Linked DNA regions of Anolis sagrei. The protein of the gene in region 2 purifies or fractionates together with the protein of the main gene of each other region. This does not show direct contact. Links are inferred from orthologs where the notes say so. Each region holds a gene or a part of one and is shown on either strand. Other genes may lie near its edges.

Region 1 (10,731 bases), about 68 Mb from region 2:
AACTAAGGTTTCATGACAGGTGGTCATTCAGGCTCTGATTTAAAACTTCTAGAAGAGACTCATACAGCAAAAGATTTATCACTATTAACTTTTTTTCCATGTCAGGAGCGATCTGAGAAACTACAAGTTGCTTCTGGTGTGAGAGAATTGGCCATCTGCAAGGGTGTTGCCCAGGGGTTTAAAGTAAGTAAAGTAAGTAAGTAAGTAAGTGCCCAGGGGACGCTCGGATTTTTTTACCATCCTTGTGGGAGGCTTCTCTCATGGAGCTGACAGAGGGAGCTCATCCATACTCCCCGGATTGGATTCGAACCAGCAACCTTCAGATCAGCAACCCAACCTTCAAGTCATCAGTCCTGCCAGCACAAGGGTTTAACCCACTGTGCCACTGGGAGCTCCCTCACTATTAATAATCTCCCACCACAATTCTTAACTTTATATCTCTTCCAAAGACAGAAAGAGAGAGAACATCCCATTCTGGGAACTAACAGTGCTTCTCACTCTGTGGAAGCAACAACGAGGAATTCCGCTTGCAATTTTTCATTGGTCAATATTTCTGAAACCTCACTTCCTTGAATGAGCACTTTCTTTTTTCATTTTTTCATTTATTTTACTCAATTATCAAAAAGAGCAAGGACATATTAGATCCACAGTAATGTACTCTGAATAAAAATAAAAGATCTCAATTCAGTAGACTTCTTTTAAAAATTAAATTATAAAGAATAGCTTCAAAATACAGAGAGAGCTAGGACTTCAGCTGGCCAAAGAGAAAGCCACGGGAAAGCCACAATTCACCAGTCACAGTCCCTTCTTGATCCCCAAATGCTAAGCAGCTAATCTTGGGATGTAAGCACAAAATCCGCCTGCTCTTCCAACATTCAAACACAAAATCAGTCTCACTCACCAGTGTTCTGCACCAACCTCCAAAAATAAAGAGATAGTCTATGCAACTCCCCCATCTAAGTCTGAAAACATATTCACCTTCACACACTCATTTTCAAACAGACATCATAATGAAAGTTAGCATGACGGGACAAATGCAAACTCAGAACCAGAGGACAACAACCAGCTTCTATCCACAAGCAAGATGAGGAACATCGTTCTCAGGCTCACCAAACATAGCCTTGGCGATTACGAACCACACACGGAATTTGGTGAAGCTGAATTCAATATTAGTCAGGTATCTGCCACTTAGGGGAAAGGTTATGGTACAAAACGGATACACTGCAGAAAATATGGGAGCCATCAGTGAACATAATAACCACATAATTGGGGATGCAAGGGGGGAAATGACTGAGGGATCAGGTCTTTTGGGGACACACCTGTGAAAAGAAAGCTAAGATCTTTGGGTTAAACAAAGTCAGCAGCGAAATATTAGTGGTCCATGTGTACTCAGTCAATCAGAGGTCAGTTTATCCATTAACACACTTTAACCTTCCTGTTGTGTACAAAAGGGCAGGTAAAAAGTGTTATATAATAAGACGAGATGTTTTCACCTGCACTTTAAATGCATATTTGAACTCTAAGCCAGGTCACTTTTTTGAGAACATCACTAACTAAGGTAGCAATTATTCTGCACAACATAAGAAGCAACAGAATAAATATCAGTGGGTGATTCAGTAGGTATAAGATAAAAGAATGGTTCTTCTGGGGTGTGGAAAGAATTAGAACGGGAAGGAATTGGAAGGAATTAGATATTGGGCAGCAAACATTCAGAACCTGAGAAGCTAACATTCAAGGCCCTGCATATAAAAGGATATTATTTTGTCAGCTAATCAAACTGAACAAAAATGTACAGCAGTGTGTGAAGAAGCACATTAAAATACATACTTTATAAGGAAATGTGTTAAATTAGAGTATCCTTTTAATTAAGCATATTATGATGCCACAAAAACCTTATGTGTTTGAGAGAACAGAAGGCAGTGACTCGCTTTATTTTTTTTAAAGCACTAGGCTTGTGAACTGTTCGGCCAATAACACTTCAGTTCTGATCAAACTGATCTTTTCCTGTAATCTGCATAATTTTTAAAATTTGATTCTGTCAACTCCTCTGCCTTTCTAGTTAGTGAGCAAGTGCCCCCATGCTCTCCAACCAGTTTTGACATTCCACTTAGCAAAGCTGCCCACTTACATTTAAAGGGGAGTTTAAAACACTTTTATAGAAAAACACACCTGACAGCTTGCACTAGGCTGAGAAATACAAGACAATGTCTTTTTATATAGTATTGTAATGTAGTTTGCAGTGCATTATTTTATTTTTCTTACTGTCTATGTGCCTGTTTCACATATAATATATATGGATTATCCCCAAAATCTCAGTACATAGGAAAAAGTAACAAACTCAGATTATATTTTACATTATATTACATATTCTTAATAGTATATATATATATATAAAATATTGGAAGGGTTTTGTAATATTTTGTAATTAATATTATTTTGTTAATAAATGTAGCTACAATTTTCCATTTTCCCTATGTATGGCAACTTTTGGAGAAACCTGTATGTGTATACATGTATGTATGTATACATGTATATATAAGGCATGGGCCCTCCAGGTGTTTTGCACTTCAAATCTCAGAATTCCTAACAGCCAGAAGTACAAAACACTTGGATGCCCAATGTTTGCCCATGCCTGATATAAATATCAAAAGTCAACAAGTGTCTTTTGATATTTAATAACTCCTTTGTTTTATTTTGTTTTTAACTTGCAATACCATAGCATCATATTCATATGGGAAATTGTGTCAATTCACAAGGTGCCATGGGTCAGCTTCATATGGGCCTATTCAGACTGGAATGGAAGGACTGAAGAGGAGGGCTAATCTAATCTCTTTTGGGAGGGTATTCCAGAGCCAGGGGGCCACCACAGGGAAGGCCCTCTCTCTTATCCCCACTAACCATGCTTGAGATGAAGGTGAGACCAAGAGAAGGTCCTCCCATGTCAATCTCAGAGCCAGTGCTGGTTCATAGAAAGAGATGCTGTCACAAAGATAGGTTGAACCCAAAGCGTATAGGGCTTCTCAAACTCACAGCAACCCAATGATTCTTGCCACGAAAGCCTTTGACAACATAATGTTTAATACTGTTTTACTATTTATATATTTGAAGTGGTATTGTGAGCCGCTTTGAGTCTCTGCATGGTGAGAAAAAGCGGGATATAAACAAACATGGCAAAAGTATGATAGCTGGGACCCAATGCTGTTTGCGCGATGCAGGTCAGACTTAGAGAAGCGAAGATGTTAAGCATTTGAACGTGTTTGCATACGATGTCTATATAGCCTTAAGCACTATGCTTGGCTGTTTACTGACCCCCCCCCCCCTTTTCTGGTGAACTATGTTGCCACGACTGTCGTACCTGCATCTCTCACTTGCTGCGCTTTCTCGGCATTGGGTCCCAGCTATCATACTTTTGCCAAACATTAATTATTATTATTATTATTATTATTATTTGAAACACAACAAGACGAGTCCACAGCAAACAAGATCACTCTGCTGGCTGTTGTATTGGATCACACGTCAGACACTTCCCAAGTGTCTAGGACTGTGTGATGTATCGGTGACTTATACTCAAGTCAGTTATTAATTATTTTACTCTGTTGTTGTTATTATTATTATTATTACATTTATTGTTTTACCTTATTATTATTATTATTATTATTATTTGTAACACAACATGATGAGTCCACAGCAGACATCTGCTGGCTGTTGTATTGGATCACATGTTGGACACTTCCCAAGTGTCTAGGACTGTGTGATGTATCGGTGAATAATGCATGCAGATCCCAGTAAGGTGGCCTTTTGTAGCTGACAGATGGTAATTTTGTCAGCGCCAATTGTGTTTAAGTGCAGGTCAAGGTCTTTAGGCACTGCACCCAGTGTGCCAATCACCACTGGGACCACCTTGTGCCAGAGTCTTTGCAGTTCGATCTTTAAATCCTCATATCAGGTCAGCTTTTTCCAGTTTTCTATTATTAATAATAATAATAATATTTTACTGACATCACAGTATGTCACAGTAAACGAGATCTATATGCTGGATTTCATATCACAAAATCACAAGTCGAACACTTCCCAAGTGTCTAGGACTGTGTGATGTTTTAATGCTTATATTGTTTTGTTAATCTTATGGTTATGTCGTTTTACTTTGTATGTTTTGAGATGTTACCTGGGAGCTGCTCCGAGTCCCCTCGGGGAGATAGAGCAGTATATAAACAAAGTTTTATTATTATTATTATTATTATTATTATTATTATGTATTTTCAAATGATGCGTGCAGATCCAAGTAAGGTGGCCTTTTGCAATTGACAGATCGTGATTTTGTCAATGTTTATTGTTTACAAATGCCGGCTGAGATCTTTTGGCATGGCACCCAGCTATTATTATTATTATTATATATTAGATCCAAGTAAGGTGGCCTTTTGCAATTGACAGATCGTGATTTTGTCAATGTTTATTGTTTCCAAATGCCGGCTGAGATCTTTTGGCACGGCACCCAGCTATTATTATTATTATTATTATTATTATATATTAGATCCAAGTAAGGTGGCCTTTTGCAATTGACAGATCGTGATTTTGTCAATGTTTATTGTTTCCAAATGCCGGCTGAGATCCCAGTTATTATTATTATTATTATTATTATTATATTAGATCCAAGTAAGGTGGCCTTTTGCAATTGACAGATCGTGATTTTGTCAATGTTTATTGTTTCCAAATGCTGGCCGAGATCCCAATTATTATTATTATTATTATTATTATTATATATTAGATCCAAGTAAGGTGGCCTTTTGCAATTGACAGATCGTGATTTTGTCAATGTTTATTGTTTCTAAATGCCGGCTGAGATCTTTTGGCACGGCACCCAGTTATCATTATCATTATTATATATTTGGCAGGAGTGACACTTTTAAAATGTACCTGTTCCGACTTGCATCCAAATTTAACTTCAGAGCAAAGCTACAAAGCCTATCTTTTTGGTAACTTGGGGATTACAACCATATATAAAAGATGAAGGCATGGAAGAAGGAAGGGCTACCCACAGGCCAAAGAGCTGGGCCTGGACAGGAAGGATGAGGAGAAGGAAGGAAGGAAGGAAAGGGCAAAGATCACGCCTGTGGGGGAGGGGGCGCTATTCCGGGGGAGGGTCTCCCAGAGGGAGCTCCAAAATGGCGGCAGCTCCCTTCCTTGTCACACACACACAGCTCCCCTCAGTCCCTGAGAGGCGCAGGCCTTCCCTCCCTCTCTCTCCTTCCCCCCTTCCCTTCCCCTCCACCGCCAGCCCCTTTCCCCCTCTTTCTCTCTCTCTCTCTCACCGGGCTCGAGCCCCCTTCGTCCTGCCCCAGTCTTCTTCTTCTTCTTCTCTTGCGAAGGAAGGAAGGAAGAAGGAGGGAGGGAGGGGGGCGGCTCTTTCGCTGGCTCGCGCTCCACTTTTTTTTTTCCTCCCTTCACCGCCGCGATCCCACAATCCCCCGCGCGCGCGCGCCTCCCAGCGGCCGACTCGCCGTTTCCTCCTCCTCCTCCTCTTCGCGCTTCTTTCCCCTCAGGCTTGGCCCCGCCCCCTCCTCCTCCCCCTTTCTCCAATGCGATTGGCTCCCAACCTTTAAGACTTCAACTCCCAGAAGACCAAAGCGCTGAGGCAAAGGGTTGAGATATCTGGGAAATGTAGTAAAAAGAGTAGGAAGCGCAAACTGCGCATGCGTCATTCGGATTCCCTCACCCCCGCCGATTGAGGGACGAACGGGGATGAGTTGCGCATGCGCGGGCTTACTCTCTTCACCTTCCATTTTCTGTATTTAAGCCCACCCGCCAAAATACCTGGGAGTTACCCTAGACCAGGCATGGGCAAACCTCGCCCCTCCTGGTGTTTCGGACTTCAACTGTCACAATTCCTAACAATCTGTTTTGGACATATGACTCCCTAAAAGAAGAGGGAGACCAGTTGCGCATGCGCCGGACTCCCTTTCCTCAGCCTACCTCATTCCTAACTTAGGGGAATTAGCTGCGCATGCGTCGGACTCCCATTCTTCAACATCCCTCATTCCTGATTTAGGGGAATTACCTGCGCATGCGTCGGACTCCCTTTCCTCAGCCTCCCTCATTCCCGACTTAGGGGAATTAACTGCGCATGCGTGAGACTCCCTTTCTTCAGCATCCCTTATTCCTGATTTAGGGGAGGACTCCCTTTCCTCAGCCTCTTGTCATTCCTGACTTAGGGGAATTAGCTGCGCATGCGTCAGACTCCCATTCCTCAGCCTCCCTCCTTCCTGACTTCGAGGAATTAGCTGCGCATGCGTCAAATTCCCTTTCCTCATCCTCCCACATTCCTGACTTCGGGGAATTAGCTGCGCATGCGTCGGACTCCCTTTCCTCAGCCTCATTTCTGATTTGGGGGAATTAGCTGCGCATGCGTCGGAGCCCCCCCCCCCCCCGGTGGCGCAGTGGGTTAAGCCCCTGTGCCGGCAGGACTGAAGACTGACAGGTCGCAGGTTCGAATCCGGGGAGAGGCGGATGAGCTCCCTCTATCAGCTCCAGCTCCTCATGCGGGGACATGAGAGAAGCCTCCCACAAGGATGATAAAAACATCAAATCAATCCAGGCGTCCCCAGGGCAAGGTCCTTGTGGACGGCCAATTCTCTCACACCAGAAGCGACTTGCAGTTTCTCAGGTCGCTCCTGACACGACAAAAAATATATCCTGACTTAGGGGAATTAGCTGCGCATGCGTCAGACTCCCTTTCCTCAGACTCCCTTTCCTCAGACTCCCTCATTCCTGATTTAGGGGAATTAGCTGCGCATGCGTCGGACTCCCTTTCCTCAGACTCCCTCATTCCTGACTTAGGGGAATTAGCTGCGCATGCGTCAGACTCCCTTTCCTCAGCCTCATTTCTGATTTAGGGAATTAGTTGCGCATGCGTCGGACTCCTGGTAGAGGACTGGAAGTCCGGCGCATGCGCAACGAATTCCTCTAAGTCAGGAATGAGGGAGGCTTAGGAATGGGAGTCCGACGGGAATCAGCCTCCCTCCGACTTAGGGGAATTAGTTGCGCATGCGTCGGGCTCCCTCTCTCCATTTTCAGAATTCTCGCTTGGCTTCTCCTTGGTTCATCCTTCTCCTCCTTTTCCCCCAAAGGCCAGTGGTTCTACAGGACATTGAACTCCAGTTTCCAAGAGTACCACCAGCCAGCAGGACCAAATTTTAGGAATTCTGGGAATTGAAGTAAAGACTAGGGAGAGCATCTGCGCATGCGTCGAATTCCTTCTCGTCTTTCCTTCTTCCCGCCGATGGAGGGACTAAGAAAATCTGTTGCGCATGCGCTGGGCCTATCTTCTTGGCCTAGCTCATTTTTAGGTGGATTTTGAGCGCTTGCTTGCGTACTTTCCCTGGATTCAAAGCAGGTTGAATTCATTAGGAGGGAACTATCAGTTATCCTGCAGATAAAGTAGAAAAATAGCGCTGTAACAGTGTGTCTTCTAGCTCTGTAGCCTTTATCAATCACAAAGCCCCATAAAATCCAATGCAGCTCCTCTTGGTTTCACATTTAGAAAAGTTGTAGTTCAAATCACTCAGGATAGTCTCAGAGTATTATTGCTTGTTGAAATGTAGGCCCTTCCACACAGCCATTGTGTATTTGTTCAATAATTTCTGGCTCTTCATGACTTCATAGAGAATCATAGAGTTGGAAGAGACCTCATGGGCCATCCAGTCCAACCCCCTGCTAAGAAGCAGGAAAATTGCATTCAAAGCACCCCGACAGATGGCCATCCAGCCTCTGCTTAAAAGCCTCCCAAGAAGGAGCCTCCTCCACACTCTGGGGCAGAGAGTTCCATTTCTGAACAGCTCTCACAGTTAGGAAGTTCTTCCTAATGTTCAGGTGGAATCTCTTTTCGGTACTTTGAAGCCATTGTTCTGCGTCCTAGTCTCCAGGGAAGCAGAAAACAAGTTTGCTCCCTCCTTCCTATGACTTGCTCTCACTTATTTATACATGGCTATCATGTATCACCGGAGCCCCGGTGGCGCAGTGGGTTAAAGCACTGAGCTGCTAAACTTGTTGACCGAAAGGTTGCAGGTTCGAATCCGGGGAGCGGTGTAAGCTTCCGCTGTCAGCCCCAGCTTCTGCCAACCTAGCAGTTCGAAAACATGCAAATGTGAGTAGATCAATAGGTACCGCCCCGGCGGGAAGGTAACAGCGCTCCATGCAGTCATGCTGGCCACATGACCTTGGAGGTGTCTACGGACGACGTTGGCTCTTCGGCTTAGAAATGGAGATGAGCACCACACCCCAGAGTCGGACACGACTGGACTTAATGTCAGGGGACAACCTTTACCTTTACCTTTATCATGTATAAGGACCAATTAGCAACAGTAAGAACTGACCATGGAACAACAGACTGGTTCAAGATTGGGCAAGTCCAGAGTCGGACACGACTGGACTTAATGTCAGGGGACAACCTTTACCTTTATCATGTATAAGGACCAATTAGCAACAGTAAGAACTGACCATGGAACAACAGACTGGTTCAAGATTGGGAAAGGTGTATGGCAGGGTTGTATACTCTCCTCCAACCTATTCAACTTGTATGCAGAACACATCATGCGATGTGCGGGGCTTGACGAATGCAAGGCTGGGATTAAAATTGCTGGAAGAAACATTAACAACCTTAGATATGCAGATGACACCACTTTGATGGTCAAAAGCGAGGAGGAACTGAGGAGCCTTTTAATCAAGGTGAAAGAAGAAAATGCAAAAGCTGGGTTGCAGCTAAACATTTAAAAAAAAAAACAAGATTATAGCAACAAGAATGATTAACAACTGGGAAATAGAGGGAGAAAATGTGACAGTGACAGACCAAGGGCAAGATGGATAGATGGCATCCTTGAAGTGACTGGACTGACCTTGAAGAATTTGGGGGTGGTGACGGCTGACAGGGAGCTCTGGCGTGGGCTGGTCCATGAGGTCACAAAGAGTCAGAAACGACTGAACAAACAACAATCATGTCTCCTCCCAGCCCATACCAAAGCTCCCTGTTGGCTGTGGCCACCCCCAGTTCCTTCAAAGTAAAGCCAGTCACTTCAAGGATACCATCCATCCATCTTACCCTTGGTGGCCTGTCATCCTTTTTCCTCTCATTTTCCTCAGCATCATTATCTTCTCCAAGCTTTCTTGTCTTCTCATTATGTGGCCAAAGTACTTCAACTTTGCCTCTAATATCCTTCCCTCCAGTGAGCAGCCGGGCATTATTTCCTGGAGGGTGGACTCGTTTGATCTTCTCACGGTCCTAGGCACTCTCAGGACTTTCCTCCAGCACCACAGTTCAAAAGCCTCTATTGTCCTTTACTCAGCCTTCCCTATGGTCCAGCTCTCACATCCATAGGTTACTACATGGAATACCATTGCTTTGACTATGCAGATCTTCGTTGTCAGTGTGATGTCTCTACTCTTCACTATTTTATCGAGATTGGACATTGCTCTCCTCCCAAGAAGTAAACGTCTTCTGATTTCCTGGCTGCAGTCTGCGTCTGCAGTAATCTTTGCACCTAGAAATATAGTCTGCCACTGCCTCCACATTTACTCCCTGTTTTACAGTTGTCAAATCAATCTAATTGCCATCATCTTGGGTTATTTTATGTTTAACTGCAACCCAGCTTTTGCACTTTATTCTTTCACCTTGATTAGAAAGCGAGGAGGAGTTCGGCTTCGCCTCGCTTTCAGCCATTAAAGTGGTATCATCTGCATATCTAAGGTTGTTAATATTCACCCAGCAATTTTAACTTCCATCCTTGGATTTGTCAAGCCCTGCATGTTGCATGATGCGTTCTGCATACAAGTTGAATAGGTTGGGTGAGAGTATACAGCCCTGCCATATTCCTTTCCCAATCTTGAAACAGTTAGTTGTTCTGTAGTTTGTTCTTGCTGTTGCAACCTGGTCAAAGGACATTTAATCAACTACCAAGTTTGCAAACTTTGTGGGTTTTTTTAACCTGTTTGTTTGTTTTGTTCTATTAAAAATGTAATACAATAGTCTGGTTGCCCCTGACACGATAAATAAATACCAACTATGTTGAATTGGTTGAGAGTTGACGAGGCTCCTCCCTAAACTACAAACCCTAGAATTCTGCAGGAGGCAGAAACCAGATTTTAAGCGGATTTTTTCTCTAGTGTGATGAGGCCCTTAGGCTATATGTAATAGATAGGTAGTTAGATAAATAGATAGATGGAGGGCCTTCTGTGCAGATTCTTTGTCAATGGATTCACCATAAGGCTAATGTGGCTTCAATTAAAATTAGGCCCCTTCTGCCATATAACCCAGAATATAAAGGCAGATAACCCACAATATCTGTTTTGAACTGGGATATGTGGCAGTGTGGACTCAGATATTCCAGTTCAAAACAGATATTGTGGGTTATTCTGCCTCGATACTCCGGATTGCTGCATGGAAGGGTCCTGGGTTATTTTAGGCCCCTTCCACACCGCTGAATAAAATCCCACATCTGCTTTTGAACTGGGTTATATGCAGTGTGACTCAGGGCCCTTCCAGACAGGTCCTATATCCTAGGATCTGATCCCAGGTTTTCTGTTCATTCCAGATTATCTGGCAGTGGGATCAGATACTGGGATATAGGGGGTGTGGAGGAGCCCTCAGGTATCCCAGTTGTGAATTATTTGGCTTGATACTCTGGGTTATACGGCTGTGTAGAAGGACCCCGAATCCATAAAATATAATAGATCATAAACCAG
Region 2 (10,697 bases):
GTAAAAACATGAGCATGAACATAAGAAGATAATATCACTAGACGAGTATTGCGGCAGCCATATGTCCCAAAAGGGACCTATAAGAAAGTACAAACATCAACTTCTGCCAACAATGCAGCAACTACCAGTGATTGAGAGCTGATCAAGACCAGAAAAACAGAAACATCTACTCAAAAAGAAAATCAATATGAGCAGAATTCTTTTTGAATAACATCATCTAGTTTGACAATACAATCCTATACATCTTTAGACAGAAGTACCATATTCCATTAACTTGAGCTAAATTAGAATTGCTGTTTAAAAGAATCCTCAATGAATCTCTGAATATAGATAAATTGAATTTTAAAAATTGCACTGCATGAATATCTTCACTATATATACACTACTATAATGCCTGTGTACTTAGAAAAGATTTGTAAGACACTGATTAGTAATACAATCACTCCTCCACATTACTATGGTTAGGGGCACAGAACTCCGACAAAAGTAGAAAAACCATTTAAAAAAAAAAAGCACTATTTTTTTTAACCTGAGAGAACATCTCTCCAGGAATCTCCAGATTCTCCAGCACAACTCTATAGTCAACCTCTGGTGGAAAGTGATGACAGAACTGCACTGGATGACCTAGAAATGTCTAGACAAATAATCTCTCTAGGAATCATAGTGGAAATTCAAAGAGAATATATTAATAAACTCTACAAGTAGTCAAATTCACAAAAGTGGAACTGGAAAATGTGTGGTACTAACTATACATTTGTGAAATCTTGGATGGGGAGGGGAGAAAAACAGCCATCTACTTTCTATCTATTATTTGCCAAAGCAATATCCTGCACACATTTTCACAAGCCAGAACTACATTTAGTCGGATGTGACTAACTGGTTTATCATAATCTTCTAAAAAATCAATTTTCATGTTTGAGAGAGAAACACTAAGTTGATAATAAAGTGTTTATATTTAGAAAGGTCTCCTTTTTCTATGAGTTACTAATGCATTTGTTCTACAGACTGATGTTTATACAATGCCCCAAAACACTGTCTTTTAATATAATTGCACAACATGCATAATGGGTATGACTATAACATAGGCAGCAAAACGAAAATTTGCCTCTCCATAAGCTACATCAGCTGAGGCTACCCATCCAAAGTTGTCCATAGCCAACTTCATCCATTGTCCCATGTCAACATTCTGTAATTCCTTACTACTGTGTGAATGATATGAAGCAATTACAACTGAAATACAATAGAGTTATGAACTGCAAGTGAAACAAACAAATGCCAACTTTAACAAAAGAATAAACTATTATTTTACTAGAGCCACAGCACAACATCAGATGTCTGATATTCTTGAACAGACACAACAGTCAAAGAGCTGCATGAAAAATAACATATGCGCCTGGGGGCTTTTCCAGCTTCCCTTCTTACTGCAGCTCCTTGCATCTCCATATGCCAAGAGCTAGCCTTAAAGGTCAAGAGGCCCACTAGAACAGGATTTGACATGGCACAGAGGGATGCACCTGGAAGGGAAATATATAATACACACCCTGTACAGTCACAAAATTCTTTCCACTAATAAAATAGGATTCTGTGGCCCTTAAACCAAGGAATATTAATTTGGTCAAACAATTAAGCATGTATATGTGCATATTTTTAATTCAATTCCACCAGTTTCATTTCCTCTGATTTCCCTGGATTTTTTTGAAGTTCACTTCTAATGAAACACATGGGCCTAACCCATTTTCAAAGCTGCAGCCAACAACGCAAACTTACTTGCCTACTCCATCTTAACAAATGTACATTTTTTAAAACCTGCTACTTAAGACAACATTCCCTCATTTTGTTTTCCGAAATGGTTTCCCTGACAAATTCAGAATAATACCTGGTTAAACTCACACACTAAATATTTGGTTAGTAGTTAAAATCATATGTCTTTGACATTTCCAGACTAAGCCTATAATCTAAATATATTTTCCTGAAACTCCCACTAAACAAAATGAGGCCTATGTCTGAGTAGACTTGTAGACCAATAAATATTAACTGATCAAGACTACCACGCTGTCAAAAATAATTGCATGGATATGGCTGTAATGATGCATAGAATTTAGCTTTATGAAAGAATACTGGGAGTTTTCTTAGTGGCCATAAGACTGACAACATCAATATTTGAACTGTTCCTTCCTCCCACAGAAAGCACCTTGTCTTTATTAAATGGGTAATATGGACATGACTGAAATGTTACCACTGATGTACGCATTACAAATAGGTACATATTGATTAAAGCCATAAAGTGAAACCATATTTGGAATAGCAACTTTCTGGAACTACAATATGTCCAGAATGATTAAATTTCTTTAAAAAAATTGAAGAATTTTTGCAACAATTTTAGCAAGATCAAAAGAAGCATTTCCTTTGGTTATTTTAGAAACAAAAATATTACAAAGATTCCAAAGAATCACAAATGAGAGCTTTAATGTAACAAAATTACATTACATTTGTATATAACTGTATAATCTCTTTTTACCTGAAAGTTGACATCTTCCTTCTTAAAAATCAGTGCACGAACCTCATCAGGGTCCCCATTAAATATAGCTTGAACTAGTGGGGGCTGAAATATAAAACCAAAAGGAATGTTTTAATTTCAAAATAAGTGTTGTAGTTGTTGTTATATCGGGCATTAAAACCCGAACAGCTCAAAAATGGTATCACAAATAAAATTTGTCAAATACATCTTTATAAAATAGGTTTCTGCTTAAACAGTTGCAGCAATTTCCTAGATAAAATAAAAAGAAACATTTTATGAAGAGGTAATGCTGCATATTGCCACAGGGGGAAAGTATCTGACATTAGTGGGTTACATTTTGAAGAATGCATAATGATTACTTTCAAAGAAACAACATATAAAACTGTTTAGTCAGTTTTTTTAATCATATAAAACAGCAAGAAAAATCAGAACATCTGAATAGATGGAGGAAATATGTCCTTATATCTAAAAATACCTCCATATGCTAACCCCTCCCCCTGCCCAATTCCACAAGGGAACAATCCAATTTTAATAAATGCCAAAAAAAGGTTTACCAAAAACAATCAAGGTGAAATAGCAGCCCTGCATCACATGAGCTATGTTCTTCTACTGAATTTTAAGAACAAAACACTTTATTACAGAGTATATTACATGAATTCATAAAACAAGCCAAAGATCATAGGAATCAATTTATATCCAGCAGCAGGTAGGAGACATGCTGTTTTGATACTGTAGTTTTTGAAAACAATGGCCAGAAAATAGAATATTTTTAAAAAAATCTAAAAATATGTGTCATTCATCAGGATTGCAGTTAGACCCAGGAGAACACTACTTTATGTTCACTATTTAAGCATAATATTAGGTACACTTTCTATATTCACATATATTTATGGTAAAAATCATTTGAGCTTTAAATCACAATTACAAATAGGGCATATTTAACAGAAGCTTCTTACCAAGCCATGTGCTGGAGGTGAAGGGTGTAGAGATATGCTTTCCTGAGGCAGTTTGGAAACAAATGTGGGAGAATCATCTTCCACCTCCTCCAAAACAACAATACATACGCGACTCATTCGATCCGTTTGAAGATGAAAACTAGATTTGTAAGGGTCTTATTCTAATCACAGCTAACACCACATAGAAAGTCTTTTTAAACATAATTTGTGATAACTATTGCTGTTCTGAAATCTTTAAGTGATATAATTAAATGACCTCTTATTTGCCAGATTCTGTAACCTGAGTTATTCAGCTAATGAGGTTTTCCCAAAAAATCTATAAAATAATTCTATTACTTTATAGCACTCAAGTACTAAAATACTGTTTGCTCAACCAATATTAAAGTATAAATTACAATAGTATATATAAATATGCTGATGCTTGTTACCAAGCCAGCTGATTCTGTTAAATTTCTACAGAATAGAATTTCTGAACAGTAAAATCATTGTTATAGACAACATAACACCATTCTATACAGAATGAAACAAGAAGACAATTGCTCTGGCAGAGATGATCACAGCTTTCTCCACTTCCGAAAGGTCAGTTCCCAGTTAACAGTAGCAGGTATTCTACCATAAAAGGCATACATGACTGTCCCAAGTGTTCCAGTTCATAATTCTGTAACTAACAATTTTATTTCTCTTACTGTCAGAAATTCACCAGAGAAATGCAATCTGTTCTCAGCAGCTATTCAGAATTATAGAGCTCCAATGATGACATTTCTTCTCTTTGTACAAATCCCTGCAATGTATGTACCACTAAGCTGCAGTACATTTACATGTGATGAGTCAGACAACAAAGGACAATGAGACTTGGATAATAATATTGCTTGTTTGATCCAGATTCCCCAGCAGACCGCAACAAAGACTGCTTTACTCCATCCATCAAAAAAGAAATGCAGAATATTTGTTTTCCACCATCACGTCGTTGCGTGAGCTGATCCAACAGGGAACGCACAAGGCATAAATGCTGGCAATGACGAAAGCTTTAGCAAAATACTAAAGCACAAGCACTTGAATTATTGCTTTAGACTTTTCATTCAGAAGTAGTTCATCATTTGAATGCTTCTTTTGATCTCAGTATGAATAGAGCTCCCATTATAGCCTTCCTTCAGACCGATGTAAAAAAAAAAAGAGGAGGTAAAAAGGAAATTCAGGTTCCACACATCGTCTTTCAGCCAACTTCTTTATTTGAAGATCTGCATCTATGTCAGCCCGCTGGTTCTTCAAGTTAAATGTTCTCTTAATCCAAATACTGTCACCAATAAAAGATTTTCTGTGCGGTAGATGCTACTGCAAACCATATAAAAATCTAGTGCCTTAAAAAGTAATTGCAGATCACGTCAACAGGGCACAAAATAGCACCGCAGCAGTGTTCCAACAGAGCAATAGTCTTTATAGCACAGACTGCAGACCCGCAGGATGAAATGCCTAGTAATGCTCACATGTTACACTTCGCAAAGAACCGAAGCTACTGCTCTGGATGTAACTTCCTGTAGAGGGGGAGGGGGAAAGCCGCTTTTGGGTAGCCCTCAGAGAATATCCATGCCAGTTTCGTATGACTAATTCAATTCAAATGTAGAAATTCTTTTCAGCCTTTTACATTTTCCATTGAAAACCACAAGAAAACTTGTGTACTGGCACTGCTGACTAACAGTGTAGGAAAATAACAATTCCAAATCCTTAAGTACTTTCATATGGTACTGTCTTTTCAGAACTGCCTCACTTAACCCTCTACAGTCATGAAGCTTTACTGATGACAGTAAACTAAGCATCAAAGGATTTAAAGAGACAGTACCCTAAAACCAATGGATACCTATTTCTCAAAATAATTACTGCTGCTGTGCAAGAAGCATTAACAAACACAAAAATGTGTTTTATGGAGAAAAAGTCTTCCAATAAGTTGAATTTACAGCTTTTATTTCAATCTAACAAGGAGCAAAAGTGATTTGTGATTTTATTATTTATGTTTTCAAAACACTGGAAATGTTATTGATTCAAAACTGAATAGCCTAGTACATCCACTGAATTTATTTTGAGTTACAAAACAAAATTACAAACAGCATTCAAAACTTAGTAAAAAAAAAAACCCTTAGCAGAATTTCAAAGCATAAAAGAAAAAAAAAATTAGAAATGGAGGACTGCAAGGACCTTGTCAATTGTTTTGGATATTAGGATACAGTATTGCAGATTATGTATCAACATTTCAGCTATCGGTACTTCTTACTAACCTAACCCTGATTTTTCTAAATTCTTCATTTAAAAATAACCAAAATATATTGTAACATTTACATTTCAGAAGGAATTCCATATTAAAAAATAAGTGATACAGATGTACTAATCTTATGATTTTTAATGTTAGAAACCATATTCTAACATTTATAGCCCTCACTTGTTTTCTTGTAATTTAATGTCACTTATTTCAGTGAAACTAAAATAATGCACTGAATATTGGGCCCTAGTTGCATTAAGTCTGTAATCTTATTCATACTTAATTGGGAACAAGACACACTGAACATAGAGGCTCAATTCACAATGAAGTTTTTTTGTTTTTTGTTTTATTAAGACAACCATGTGGCTCCCATGCACTTCACTCAATTCACTCCTTCATATACACATTTAATACTTCAAACCTCACCTATTTAAACCAGTTTTTTATTACATTTAAAGAGGAGTAGAATTTTGAACCAGGATCAAAACATGGCTCCTGAGCCTGGTTAATAAACTAATATTAAGTCAGAGCTCCCTGTTTCAGATATAATGGAACTGAAACTCCCAAGCCTACACATATAGGAAGATTCCCCCCCAAAAGGGGGGGGGGGGTCAAAGGCATAATTGAAGGGCATCCAGACCACCTCCTCAAAAAATAACAAGTTGTTAACAGCTATGGAGATTCTGCTGCTTCCAATTTTTTTTGGATGATGGTGAAGTGGTAATATAGCAGACTTCTGTTTCTTCTGCCTCTACAGGTGGTTGCTTAAGGTGGCTGAGGAGTCAGCCACAACCATCTTTTTTGTCTGTGACCATATATAGAGAGCTGCATGGATCTGAACCCTGAGCCTTGCTGTGGCACAAAAGGGCAAATTTGCCACCCAATCACCCGAGGTAACTAGGAGTCCCCGGTGGTGCAGTGGGTTCGAATCCGGGGAGAGGCGGATGAGCTCCCTCTATCAGCTCCAGCTCCTCATGCGGGAACATGAGAGAAGCCTCTCACAAGGATGATAAAAAGATCAAAAATCATCTGAGCATCCCCTGCGCAACGTTCTTGCACAGCCAATTCTCTCACACCAGAAGCAACTTGTAGTTCCTCAAGTCGCTCCTGACACGACAAAAACAAAAAACAAAACAAAAACAAACAAACCCTGAGGTAACTGGGACTCATGGCAGAGCAGGCCCTGCCTAGAGGGAAGAGGTTAAAGAAAAAAAAGGGGGGGGGTCAAAAGCACATTCAGAAGAAGCCTTATACTCTATGAATATTCAATGATAAATTGAATCTGTTTGTGCTAAAGGTGTGCCAAGGCCAGTGTAGCTTTACTATGAGAGACAAAACTCGTATATAAAGCTTATTGGTTAGCACTGATCAGTTCTTACTTTAACCTATCACACAGGGTTGTTGTGAGGATAAAAAGGGGAAAGTAGACTCATATACACTAGGTTCCATTCTCTGAAAGTACGTTGTAAAATGAATGTACAAATTAGACATTTATCTTAGTTTCATACCTTGCTTAAGAAATTTCTTTTAAAAATGTTTTGCCAGTAGCACGATGTCTTCTAAACATGATGTTTTAGATAGCTATCAGAATGAATTGTAAATGAAAGCACTTCTAATTTTGAATCTTGCTTTGGAAAGATTTCAAATACAGAAATGTCAGTTTAAAATGCCTCATAACTCAATTACATATATATTAAATGCTTTGTCAAAAGTGTATTCTGCATTCTAATAAAATTTTAAAAACAGATATTGCTCATGGGGTCTGATTCAAACTTACCATATCTGAGAAGAATATCTCTAAAGAAAAGCAGGATCATATATACCTGGCCATTTAAGCTGATACTGTTGCTACCCACCCATATAAACATATAAATAGATGACAGACTATGCTCATACGTCACATGGAAATTACCATATGGACTTAATTCTATACATTTGAAGGTGGAAAAACCAATAAAACTAACGACAGCAGCTGTTAGCCAATTGTAGCTATCATAGAATTTGACAAGATCATGTCTGCTTTCCGTATGCATGGGAGAGCTTATTTTTGGCACCCTCTTCTGCCCCAAGCTGTCTCTTCCACTCCTTCTCATCTACTTTTCTTAAAGATCCTGTTTCTAAAACTACAAGCTCTTTTAGTCCATTCATACCCATCAACATTGCTTCTTAAATCAACTATCTCCTGGGAGATTTTCTCAGATGTATTAGTTCTTAACAACTAAGAAGCCTAAAGGATCACAGGCAGCAAAAAATGTACTTAATTAGTATGTACCAAGGCATAAAACATGTAACATCAATGTGCAATATACATTTGTCTCTGAATGGCACTGTAGGTTTCCTTGGAGACAGCTGGGATTTAGAGAAATGCTACTACCACCCACACAAGAGGACCTCACAGTTTCTCCATCCTTCTGGCATCACCTCCCTATTCCACCCCCCCCCCCACCCACACACAAGAAAGGAAAAAATTCTAATATCAAGGCATTTGTACTTCATCACAAGCAATCAATCACAAATCACAATAATCTGTAATACTGAACTCCCTCTTTCCTATAGGTTTAAAATTTTGACCATTGAAAATGAAATTTCCAGTCAACACCCTTTAATTACAAATTGAGAAGGAAATTATAAGAAATACATTATTCTTAGACGATATGGTAAAATGGATACCAAAGAGACAAACTATTGTTGAAAAATGTTATATGGATTTTGGAAAAGGGGAAATCTACTTTCAAATGTACAAGAACAACAATACAACTAAACTGGATCTTAATCACAATTACTCAGAAGAAAGTTCCACATAACTGTATACTATTTACTTCCTATTTATTAAATGTAGGATAACATAAAATGAAATAAAGTAAGTCACAAATATTTGTTATGTGAATTCTTGCGAATAATTTTACATTAACAGAATAGTGAATGGGACAGAACATTAAACACATGGAAACCAAAAGCAGCTAACAAACCCAACTTGACAGCAATATTTTGCAGTCATACATGTAACAATACTAACTTCTCATATCAGGTGCAAAAATGGTACAAAACAAGAATTTAATCCAACAAAATCCTTTGTTGGGATTTCACAAAAAGAAGGTCAACTTCCCTCAATGTGTTGCACAGGACCACAATTAGCTTGTTTTTCTCACGGGCTAATTGACCCATGACAAAAACAGGTCAATTAGCCATGTGTAAGCTATATACTATTTCCTAAATGAAGGTAATATCTCAATAGAAAGTTCCTCATATGTGATCTATCATAGGCAGATTTTTTAAAAATTAATATAGTTCATACTTCATTAGAGGGGTATGTTAAACAATTTTGAAACTCTGTAATGTACAAATATGAACATCTAACACTACTTTATACTTTCTTGTAGAGAAAAAAAAAGATAAGAATTACAGAATAATTTGTATGCTAGTACTATAAGAAAATCAGCACTGCAAGTACAAATACCGCAGCAATCACAGAGCTTCTGAAGAAATTTAAAAGTAAGGAATGACTGCACTGTGTTCTCACATGACTGTTGTATTGCTAAGTCTATAACTCAGGGGTAGGAAAAATGTTACAAGTAGGTAGATATTGTATTAATTTCCCAGATTGTTTTAAAGAGTTCTTACTCTGTGACCCAGCTATACTATATTATCTGCTGGTTTGCAGTGTGCAGGTCTCTGAAAGAAGCTTCAGAATTCAAACACATTATATTTTATATTAGATCATAGAGCCAAGATGAAAAGTTAGTTATAAAATCATCTTGCTAAAATGTGAAACTACTTCTTATGTGGACTTGACATGTACTTGTATCACTATATAATCCACAACTCTTTGATAAACATGAAATCTAATGCAGCAGGACAATTAGAGGTCACAGTAGCTGGTCATACTGAAATGTTAAATAGTATAAAAAAGAGGCATGTCACATTTAATTTTGACGTATCATTCTACCCAAAGTGGTAACATAGACCGTCCATAAGTGCTATTCTATACATCTCTGGGTTCTTAATTTCACAAATAATGAATACATTAAACCAGGGGTCCTCAAATTAAGGCCCTACAAGGTCATTTACCATGCCCCCACCCTAAACTTAGGATCTCCTAAATCTGAAACAACTTCAAGGCACACAACAACTTGAAGGCACACAACAACAGCAATCCTACTTAACTTGACTTTCTCATCAGCCAAAAGCAGGCCCAGGTTTCCCATTGAAATACTGGTAACTTTATGCTGGTTAAAATTGTTTTGCATTTTAAATATTGTTTTATTCCTTCATGGGTTTTTTGCACTACAAATAAGAAAGTGAAATGCATAGGAATTTGTTCATATTTTTTTCAAACAATAGTCTGGCCCCACAACAGTCTGAGGGACCGTGACATGGTCCTCTGTTTAAAATGTTCGAGGATCCCCACATTAAACAAATAATACAACAATCTCATATATTATGTCAATGAAGTTGTCTGAAAGAATGTTGGAATAATAAAAAATCAACACTAGATTCTAGAAAGTCACAAAGATGTGTCCAGAATTCATGTGACAAGTATGACAGTCATCATATATTTGTAATTTCAAAAGGATGCATGGGGGAAAACACTGATGTAGGAAACTGAATATAAAGCACAAGAAACATGCAGATCTTCCTATTCCGAACTTGTTGATATCTCCATTAAACAGAAACACAGAAATGCTGAACCAGTCAAACAACCATCATGTCAGACAACACAGAGAAACCATTGAGATCCACAAGCATGTGGAGAATTTCAACAGAAAGGAGAAAATGGTGAAAATGAATAAAATCTGGCTACCAGTATTTAAAAAACCCTCTAAAATCAGGGTAGTAAATAAAGAGGAATAAAAAAAAATAGGGGAATTTCTGACATGAAACAATCAGGGACAGCTAGCACTTCCCAACAAAGGATTCCCTGAAGCAGGAAGTAGCCAGGCTTTGAAGCTGCAAGACCACTCAGTGCTAATCA
Region 3 (10,694 bases), on a different chromosome or scaffold from region 2:
CATCGATGTCCAGTCCTCTCAAGCTCACACTGGGAAGGAAGCGCAGAGGTCAAGCATCCTCTAAAGGCCATCCAGCCCAACCCCCTTCCGCCAAGGACACCCTCCGATCCCTCCCGAGAGATGGCCGTTCATTTTCTGCTCCAACAACCTCCTGAGGAGACTCTTCTGGACTCCAAGGCACAAAAAAAAACCCGGAAGAACTTCACACTTTTCAGCTTCTCACTCCTTTTGCATATCTCTGGCCCTTCAAAAAGGCTCACTTCCTCCACGGAGTGTCCCGAACCCAGACCCCAAAAAAACCCTTTTGGAGAAGTGAGCATTTTAGTTTGGTTCTCTATGGTTTCCAAAGTGTCTCTTTGTCACTTTCAGGTTTTCCCTGTAATAGGCAGTAAAAATGCCTAAAGCTTTGGAGGGCTTCTCTTGAACCATTTGAAATCTCCCTGTTTGAGTGTTGATGGCATGATCGTCAGCATATATTAAACTCTCTGTCCCTTCTAGACATTTCTCTCAATGTTAAACATGGATGGAGCAAGCTGATTTAACTTGTAAGAGGCAGTAAGAGCACCTAACACTTTGGAGAGCTTCTGTTGAACCATTTCAGCATTTGAGCGTTGATGGCATGATCGTCAGTGTATATTAAGCTCTCTGTCCCTTCTGGCAGTGGCTGGTCATTTGTGTCAATGTTAAAAGTGGATGGAGCAAGCTGTTTTTCCCTGTAAAAGGCAGTAAAATCACCTAAAGCCATTTCAAAGCTCCCTGATTGAGCGTTGATGGCATGATCGTCAGCGTATATTAAACTCTCTGTCCCTTCTGGTCATTTGTGTAAATATTAAACATTGATGGAGCAAGCTGATTTAACTTGTAAGAGGCAGTAAGAGTACCTAAAGCTTTGGAGAGCATCTGTTGAACCATTTCAAAGCTCTCTGCTTGAGCATTGATGGCAGGATCGTCAGCATATATTAAACTCTCTGTCCCTTCTAGTCATTTCTGTAAATATTAAACAAGCTGGTTTTCCCTGTAATAGGCAGCAAGAGCACCTAAATCTTTGGAGAGCTTCTGCAGAACCATTTCAAATCTCCTTGTTTGAGCGTTGATGGCATGATCGTCAGCGTATATTAAACTCTCTGACCCTTCTAGTCATTTGTGTCAATGTTAAACATGGATGAAGCAAGCTGGTTTTCCCTGTAATAGGCAGTAAGAGCACCTAAAGCTTTGGAGAGCTTCTGTTCCACCATTTCTAAGCTCCCTGCTTGAGCGTTGATGGCATGATCGTCGGCGTATATGAAACTCTCTGTCCCTTCTAGTCATTTGTGTCAATGTTAAACATGGATGGAGCAAGTTGGTTTCCCCTGTAATAGGCAGTAAGAGCACCTAAAGCTTCGGAGAGCTTCTGTTCCGCCATTTATTTCAAAGCTCTCTGCTTGAGCGTTGATGGTATGATCGTCAGCATATATTAAACTCTCTGTCCCTTCTAAGTCATTTGTATAAATATTAAACAAGCTGGTTTTCCCTGTAATAGGCAGTAAGACCAACTAAAGCTTCAGAGAGCTTCTGTTGAACCATTTCAAAGCTCCCTGATTGAGCGTTGATGGCATGATCGTCAGCGTATATTAAACTCTCTGTCCCTTCTGGTCATTTGTGTCAATGTTTAACATGGATGGAGCAAGCTGGTTTTCCCTGTAATAGGCAGTAAGAGCACCTAAAGCTTTGGAGAGCTTCTGTTGAACCATTTCAAAGCTCCCTGTTTGGGCAGTGATGGCACTGTCGTCAGCATATATGAAAACTCTCTGTCCCTTCTGGCAGTGGTTGGTCATTTGTGTCAATGTTAAACACGAGGAACTGTATTAAGAGGCATTAGGAAAATTGAGAAACACTGACCTAAAGCTTTGGAGAGCTTCTGTTCAGCCATTTCAAAGCTCCCTGCTTGAGCAGTGATGGCGGCGTCATCAGCATAGATGAAAACTCTCTATCCCTTCTGGCAGTGGCTGGTCATTTGTGTACATGTTAAACACGAGGAATGGTATTAAGAGGCATTGGGAAGGTTGAGAAACATTGACTAAAAGCTTCGGAGAGCTTCTCTTCAGCCATTTCAAAACTCCCTGTTTGAGCGGTGATGACACCGTCATCTGCATATATGGAACTCTCTGTCCCTTCTGGCAGTGGCTGGTCATTTGTGTAAACGTTAAACATGAGGAACTGTATTAAGAGCCATTAGGAAGGTTGAGAAACACTGATCTAAAGCTTTGGAGAGCTTCTGTTGAACCATTACAAAGGTCTCTGCTTGAGCGTTGATGGCACTGTCATCAGCATAGATGAAACTCTGTGTGTCTTCTGGCAGTGGCTGGTCATTTGTGTCAATGTTAAACATGAGGAACTGTATTAAGAGGCATTAGGAAGATTGAGAAACACTGACCTAAAGCTTTGGGGAGCTTCTGTTCAGCCATTACAAAGCTCTCAGCTTGGGTGGTGATGGCAAGATCGTCAGCATATATTAAACTCTCTGTCCCTTCTGGCAGTGGCTGGTCATTTGTGTACATGTTAAACACGAGGAACGGTATTAAGAGGCATTGGAAAGGTTGAGAAACATTGACTAAAAGCTTCGGAGAGCTTCTCTTCAGCCATTACAAAGCTCTCTGCTTGAGCGGTGATGGCGGCGTCATCAGCATAGATGAAAACTCTCTGTCCCTTCTGGCAGTGGCTGGTCATTTGTGTAGATCATAAACGTTGATGGAGCAAGCACGCTCCCCTAAAGCAGGCAGTTCTTCTGTTTTCGCCATCTGCGATGGAACTCAACGATGGATGGAACTCAACAAAAAAGCTCCTGTTTTGTAGCAGATTTCCTATGATTCCCTTTGTGATACTATAAGTTTTTCTCAGGAGGAGGCAATGATTTATAGTATCACAAGTAGCTGGCAAGTCTATGAAGACAGCGCCTGTCATTGTATTTAATTATAAATATATATTGTATCTAATGCAGCCTGTACATAATTGCAATTTCTTAAAAAATCTATATAATTCTATGGATACAGAAGGATAACTGTATCCACTACGCTGTTTTATATGTATTTGTTGTCGCTCTAATAGAGAGAAGCTCTATTAGAGCGCTACACCGCTGGAGAAATTATACAGTTTAGCTGACTCCAGGAGGTTCCGGGTTTGAGCCTGCCACTTTTGGACTCTTGCTTGCTGAGGTGCAAGCAAGAGTCCAAAAGCGGCAGCCTGAAACTCGGAAGCTCAATCAGTCGCTGAGACCAGATGAGAGACTCCCTCCTGGGCACATTGAAGACGAGGTGACTTGGAAGGCGCTGAATAGACTGCGCTCTGGGAGAGGATGGACCGTGGATGATGGGATTTGTAGTACCTTCACCCGGTTCACTTCCCACAGAACACGGTGGCCCCCACAAATCACAGGTTGGCACACAGAGCCCCCATGACCCACTCAACATCTCGGTGCAGTCTGGAGAAGGATGGAACATGGACGATGGGACTTGCAGTTCCTTCACTCACTTCCTGAGACCGCTGCGACCCTCACCAATGACGGACCAAGACCAAACTTGGCACACAGACCCCTCACGACCAACTCTACATCCTGGTGTGGTTTGGAGGACAATGGAACATGGATGATGGGACTTGCAGTTCCTTCACTCACTTCCTGCGACCACTGCGACCCTCACTAATGACGGACCAAGACCAAACTTGGCACACAGGACCCTCCATGACCAACTGTACATCATGGTGCGGTTTCAAGGACAATGGAACATGGATGATGGGACTTCCAGTTCCATCACTCACTTCCTGCGACCACTGCGACTCTCACCAATGACGGACCAAGACCAAACTTGGCACACAGACCTCTCATGTCCAACTCTACATCCAGGTGTGGTTTGGAGGACGATCGAACATGGACGATGGGACTTGCAGTACCTTCACTCACTTCCTGCGACCGCTGTGACCCTCAGCAATGACTGACCAAGACCAAACTTGGCACACAGACCCCCCCATGTCCAACTCTACATCCAGATGTGGTTTGAAGGACGATGGAACATGGATGATGGGACTTGCAGTTCCTTCACTCACTTCCTGCGACCACTGCGACCCTCACCAATGACCGATAAAGACCAAACTTGGCACACAGAGGCCCATGAACTGCAACCCTAATCCAATGACCGATAAAGACCAAACTTGGCACACAGACCCCTCCATGACCAACTCTACATCCTGGTGCGGTTTGGAGAACGATGGAACATGGACGATGGGACTTGCAGTACCTTCATTCACTTTCTGAGACCACTGCGACCCTCACGAATGACTGACCAAGACCAAACTTGGCACACAGACCCCCCCCCCATGTCCAACTCTACATCCAGATGTGGTTTGGAGGATGATAGAACATGGACGACGGGACTTGCAGTACTTTCACTCACTTCCTGCGATCGCTGCGACCCTCACCAATGACGGACCAAGACCAAACTTGGCACACAGACCCCTCATGTCCAACTCTACATCCAGATGTGGCTTGGAGGACGATGGACTATGGACGATGGGACTTACAGTACCTTCACTCACTTCCTGCGACCACTGCGACCCTCACCAATGACTGACCAAGACCAAACTTGGCACACAGACCCCTCATGTCCAACTCTACATCCAGAGGTGGTTTGAAGGACGATGGAACATGGACGATGGGACTTGCAGTACCTTCACTCACTTCCTGAGACTGCTGCAACCCTCACCAATGACTGATCAAGAACAGACCCCTCCATGACCAACTCTACATCCTGGTGTGTTTTGGAGAATGATGGAACATGGACGATGGGACTTGCAGTACCTTCACTCACTTCCTGCGACCGCTGTGACCCTCAGCAATGACTGACCAAGACCAAACTTGGCACACAGAGCCCCCATGACCAACTCTACATCCTGGTGCGGTTTGGAGAACGATGGAACATGGACGATGGGACTTGCAGTTCCTTCACTCACTTACTGCGATCGCTGCAACCCTCACCAATGACTGCACTCTACACCGCTGGAGAAATTATACAGTTTAGCTGACTCCAAGAGATTCCGGGTTTGAGCCTGCCACTTTTGGACTCTTGCTTGCTGAGGTGCCCACTCAACATCTTGGTGCAGTCTGGAGAAGGATGGAACATGGACAATGGGACTTGGTCCCTTCACTCACTTCCTGAGACCACTGCGACCCTCACCAATGACAGACCAAGACCAAACTTGGCACACATGTCCAAGTCTACCTGTCCTGCCCTACCACAACCACATCCATGTTGCAATGATTTACCTTCTCTGATTGAATTCTGGGTCGTCGTCATCCTCGTCCAGCACTTTGCCCGGTTCCCAGCTGTGCCGTCGGAAAGCGTCGTAGGGGGTGGCGCAGCCCCTCAAGCGCATTGGCACCCCCAAAAACTGCACATCGTCCCCCATCTCCTCTTCTGGCTCCACGGCGCATGGCTCCACCGCAGAGAGGCTGCGCTGCTTCAGGACCAGCGGGGAGACCGGGACTCCACTCATTCCTCGCGGAGCATCCGAAGGCTGGAAAGAGAAGAAGGGGAAATCAATGGGTGCACTAGGTCTCCCAGCACAGCTAATGCCTAGCAAGGTTTGCTGTTTAGGGATCTCTAGTTCTGGGTTGTTGTGAGTTTTTCAGGCTGTATGGCCATGCTCCTGATGCATTCTCTCCTGACGTTTCGCCTGCATCTGTGGCTGGCATATGCAGAGCTTTCGTTGGCTGTGAAGCAAGTGGAGTGTGCATCGACCTCTGACGAAATGCATCTAGATCCTCCAGCACAAATAAATATGAATATATAAATAAAAATATAAAAATATATAAAAATAAAAAATATAAAATATATAAAAATATAAAATATAAATAAATAAATATAAAATATGGAAATATAGAAACATAGAAATGTAAATGTAAAAAAAGAAAAATAAAGAATAGAAAAATAGAATAAAAGAAAAATATAAATAATATATAAATATATAAATATATATAAATATATAAATAAAAATAGAAAAATAGAAAAATATAAATAAAATAGAAAAATAGAAAATAGAAAATATAAATATAAAAAAATTAAAAAAAAGAAATATATAAATAAAAATAGAAAATAGAAAATATAAATATAAAAAAATTAAAAAAAAGAAATATATAAATAAAAATAGAAAATAGAAAAATATAAATAAATATATAAAAATATTATATATCTAAACTAAAAATATATAAATATAAAAAATAAAAATAAAAATATAAAAATAGGAAAATATAATTAAAATATAAAAATATAAATATATAAATAAAAATAGAAAAATAGAAATAAATATATAAAAATATAATATATAAATAAATATATTTATAAAATACCTATATATACATATATATATACATATACATATACATATATATATATATATATATATATAGAAAAATAGAAAAATAGAAATAAATATATAAAATGTATAATACAAATAAATATATATATAAAAATATAAAAAATATAACAATAAAAACAGAAAAAATAGAATAATATAATAAAAAATAAATATATATAAATATATATAAATAAAAATATGAAAATAGAAAAATATAAATAAATGTATAAAATATAATATATATAATAGAAAAATATAAATAGAAAAAATATAAATAGAAAATAGAAAAATAGAAAAACAGAAAAAACAGAAAAAATTATAAATAAAATTTTAAAATATAAATAAAAATATTTATATATAAATATATAAATAAATATAAAAATATAAATATATAAATAAATATATATATAAATAAAAATATAAAAATACAAAAATATAAAAGTTATATATATATATATATAAATAGAAAATAGAAAAATAGAAAAAACAGAAAAAATAGAAAAAATTATAAATAAAATTTTAAAATATGAATAAAAATATTTATATATGAATATATAAATAAAATAAAAATATAAAAATATAAAATATAAATAAATATATATAAAAATAAAAATATAAAAATACAAAAAATATAAAAATAATATATATATAAATATAAAAAGAAAAATAGAAAAATAGAAAAAATAGAAAAAATTATAAATAAAATTTAAAAATATAAATAAATGTATTTATATATAAATATATAAATAAAAATATAAAAATACAAAAAATATAAAAATTATATATATATATATATATATATATATATATATATATAAACAAAAATATAAATATATACAAAACAATAAACAATAAATAAATAAATATAAATATATATAAAAATAAACATAAATATCACCACACATATCACTATTAAAATTTCTGCCCCTCGGGCAACCGAGGTTGTCCTAACAACATAACACTAAACAACTCCAAGTCCATAGGGTTTGGAATAAATCTGGAGTGAGACCCATTCAAATCCCGGTCTCCTTGATTCCGGGTCCAATCCTTGCCTTGCCCAGCTTGGTTCACCTGCTCTTCGCTCTCGTCTCTTCTGCAAGCCTTCCTTGCTTCTCTTTCCAAAAGATAGGAAAGGGAAGCGCTGGCGTGACTTTGCTCCTATCCTGTTTGGGTTTTCCACCACTCACTCCTCCCAATGTTCCCTTTGGTGCTTTCCTCCTTTCTCTCCGCTTATCTTTTGCAGAATCAGCACAGCCAACTTTCCAAAGGGAGAGAAGAACCAATGGAGCCCGGCCAGGCAGACAGGATACTCACTGGGAATATGCTCATAATAAAGCAGCTCCACTGTGCTCTCTTTGATTGTAGGTGAACTATAAATCCCAGCAACTACAACTCCCAAATGTCAAGGTCTATTTCCCCCAAACTCCACCAGTGTTCACATTTGGGCATATTGAGTATTCATGCCAAGTTTGGTCCAGATCCATCATTGTTTGAGTCCACAGTGCTCTCTGGATGTAGGTGAACTACAACTCCCAAACTCAAGGTCAATGCCCACCAAACCCTCCCAGTATTTTCTGTTCGTCGTGGGAATTCTGTGTGCCAAGTTTGGTTCAATTCCATCGTTGGTGGAGTTCAGAATGCTCCTTGATTGTAGGTAAACTAGAAATCCCAGCAACTACAACTCCCAAATGACAAGGTCTATTTTCTCCAAACTCCACCAGTGTTCACATTTGGGAATATTGAGTGTCCATGCCAAGTTTGGTCCAGATCCATCATTGTTTGAGTCCACAGTGCTCTCTGGATGTAAGTGAACTACAACTCCAAAACTCAAGGTCAATGCCCATCAAACCCATCTAGTGTTTCCTCTTGGTCATAGGAGTTCTGTCTGCCAAGTTTGGTTCAATTCCATTATCAGTGGAGTTCAGAATGCTCTTTGATTGTAGGTGAACTATAAATCCCAGCAAGTACAACTCCCAAATGTCAAGGTCTATTTTCTCCAAACTCCACCAGTGTTCACATTTGGGCATATTGAGTGTCCGAGCCATGTTTGGTCCAGATCCGTCACTGTTTGAGTCTCTGGATGTAGGTGAACTACAACTCCCAAACCCAAGGTCAATGCCTACCAAACTCTCCCAGTATTGTCTGCTGGTGATGAGAGTTTTGTGTGCCAAGTTTGGTTCAATTCCATTGTTGGTGGAGTTCAGAATGCTCTTTGATTCTAGGTGAACTATAAATCCCAGCAACTACAACTCCCAAATGTCAAGGTCTAATTGCCCCAAACTCCACCAGTGTTCACATTTGGGCATATTGAGTATCCTTGCCAAGTCTGGTCCAGATCCATCATTGTTTGAGTCCACAGTGTTCTCTGGATGTAGGTGAACTACAACTCCCAAACTCAAGGTCTCGTAGCCCCAAACTCCACCACATTTGGGCATATTGAGTATCCGTGCCAAGAATGAAAATACATCCTGCATATCTGATATTTACATGATGATTCAGAACAGGAGCAAAATGACAGGAGTTTTTTGGGGGTGAACTTGGCATAATGGGAGTTGTAGTTCACCCACAAACCCTTATGTACTTGGTACAATTAATATACTAACTTTTTTTTTCAAATAGCCTGGGCAACTCCGGGTAACCAAAGTAGTAAACAAATAGAGTGACCTTATAAAACTACAACTCTCCTGACCTTATAAAACTACAACTCTCAGGATTGATTCAAAAATAGAGCGAGAGAGAGAGAGGAAACAATCTGGGATGAGGTCAGGCTCGGAGAAGAGGAATGATCTCAGATTTGGGAGGAAACGCTTCTATGGGAACCTTGGGAAAGTGTACACAACAGCGCAAAGCCCGGTCCCACCCAGCCGAGGAAGGGAACGCGGGCAAAGGTGACCCGAACCGGCCGCCAAGCCTGGGAAATTGTAGTTTTGCAAGGTCTTCGGCCAAACGACAACTCCCAGGATGCCAGAGCATGGAACCAGTGGGGTCAAATCCAGCAAAAGCAATAGAAAATAGCAATAAAGATGAATGATAACAACATTTCTCCCCGTTTCCAAGATTTCAATGCCCGTACTTGCCAAACTACAACTCCCAGGATCCCAAAGCATCGCTTGACGTGCCATGGCTCAATGCTTGGAGACCGTCCTCACCAAACTACAACTCCCAGGATCCCAAAGCATTGAGCTGTGGCACGTCAAGTGATGCTTTGGGATCCTGGGAGTTGTAGTTTGGCAAGTACGGTCTCAAAGGCTGTACTTGCCTGTACTTGTTAAACTACAACTCCCAGGATCCCAAAGCATCACTTGATGTGCCACGGCTCAATGCTTTGAGACCGTACTCACCAAACTACAACTCCCAGGATCCCAAAGCATCGCTTGATGATACTTTGAGACTATACTTGCCAAACTGCAAATCCCAGGATCCCAAAGCATCACTTGACAGGCCATGGCTCAATGCTTTGAGACCGTACTCGCCAAACTACAATTCCCAGGATCCCAAAGCATCGCTTGGCGTGCCACTGCTCAATGCTTTGAGACCGTACTTGCCAAACTATAACTCCCAGGATCCCAAAGCATCGCTTGATGATGTTTTGAGACCGTACTCGCCAAACTACAATTCCCAGGATCCCAAAGCATTGAGCCGTGGCACATCAAGCAATACTTTGCGATCCTAGGAGTTGTTGCTTGTACTTGCCAAACTGCAACTCCCAGGATTCCAAAGCATCGCTTGACATGCCACGGCTCAATGCTTTGAGACCGTACTCACCAAATTACAACTCCCAGGATCCCAAAGAATTGCTTGACATGCTAGGGGTCAATGCTTTGAGACTGTACTCGCCACACTACAACTCCCAGGATCCCAAAGCATCGCTTGATGGTGCTTTGAGACCGTACTCGCCAAACTGCAACTCCCAGGATCCCAAAGCATCACTTGACAGGCCACGGCTCAATGCTTTGAGGCCATGCTCGCCAAACTACAACTCCCAGGATCCCAAAGCATCACTTGACGTGCCACGGCTCAATGCTTTGGGATCTTGGGAGTTGTAGTTTGGCAAGTACGGTCTCCAAGCATTGAGCCATGGCACGTCAAGCGATGCTTTGGGATCCTGGGAGTTGTAGTTTGGCAAGTATGGGCATTGACAGGCCATGGTTCAATGCTTTGAGACCATACTCACCAAACTACAACTCCCAGGATCCCAAAGCATCACTTGATATGCCACGGCTCAATGCCTTGAGACTGTACTCACCAAACTGCAACTGCCAGGATCCCAAAGCATCGCTTGATATGCCATGGCTCAATGCTTTGAGACT

The links. Proteins that work in one complex are often made in the same cells at the same time.
Region 1: the proteins of ANKRD28 (region 2) and PPP6R1 purify together in Homo sapiens (co-immunoprecipitation; 4 studies listed by BioGRID and IntAct, with this or other methods). This does not show direct contact. The link is inferred for Anolis sagrei from reciprocal best matches to the Homo sapiens genes ANKRD28 and PPP6R1.
Region 3: the proteins of ANKRD28 (region 2) and ARHGEF2 purify together in Homo sapiens (affinity purification with mass spectrometry; 3 studies listed by BioGRID and IntAct, with this or other methods). This does not show direct contact. The link is inferred for Anolis sagrei from reciprocal best matches to the Homo sapiens genes ANKRD28 and ARHGEF2.

The regions. Positions count from the first base shown.
Region 1 is NC_090026.1:20,852,237-20,862,967, reverse strand, and holds the start of PPP6R1 (serine/threonine-protein phosphatase 6 regulatory subunit 1), read right to left. Parts: upstream 5,504-10,731; 5' UTR 5,310-5,503; intron 1-5,309. UniProt on the Homo sapiens protein: Regulatory subunit of protein phosphatase 6 (PP6). May function as a scaffolding PP6 subunit. Involved in the PP6-mediated dephosphorylation of NFKBIE opposing its degradation in response to TNF-alpha.
Region 2 is NC_090026.1:89,313,403-89,324,099, reverse strand, and holds the start of ANKRD28 (serine/threonine-protein phosphatase 6 regulatory ankyrin repeat subunit A), read right to left. Parts: upstream 5,051-10,697; 5' UTR 3,592-5,050; coding exon 3,475-3,591; intron 2,603-3,474; coding exon 2,519-2,602; intron 1-2,518. UniProt on the Homo sapiens protein: Regulatory subunit of protein phosphatase 6 (PP6) that may be involved in the recognition of phosphoprotein substrates. Involved in the PP6-mediated dephosphorylation of NFKBIE opposing its degradation in response to TNF-alpha.
Region 3 is NC_090032.1:20,907,719-20,918,412, forward strand, and holds the start of ARHGEF2 (rho guanine nucleotide exchange factor 2), read right to left. Parts: upstream 5,504-10,694; 5' UTR 5,437-5,503; coding exon 5,294-5,436; intron 30-5,293; coding exon 1-29. UniProt on the Homo sapiens protein: Activates Rho-GTPases by promoting the exchange of GDP for GTP.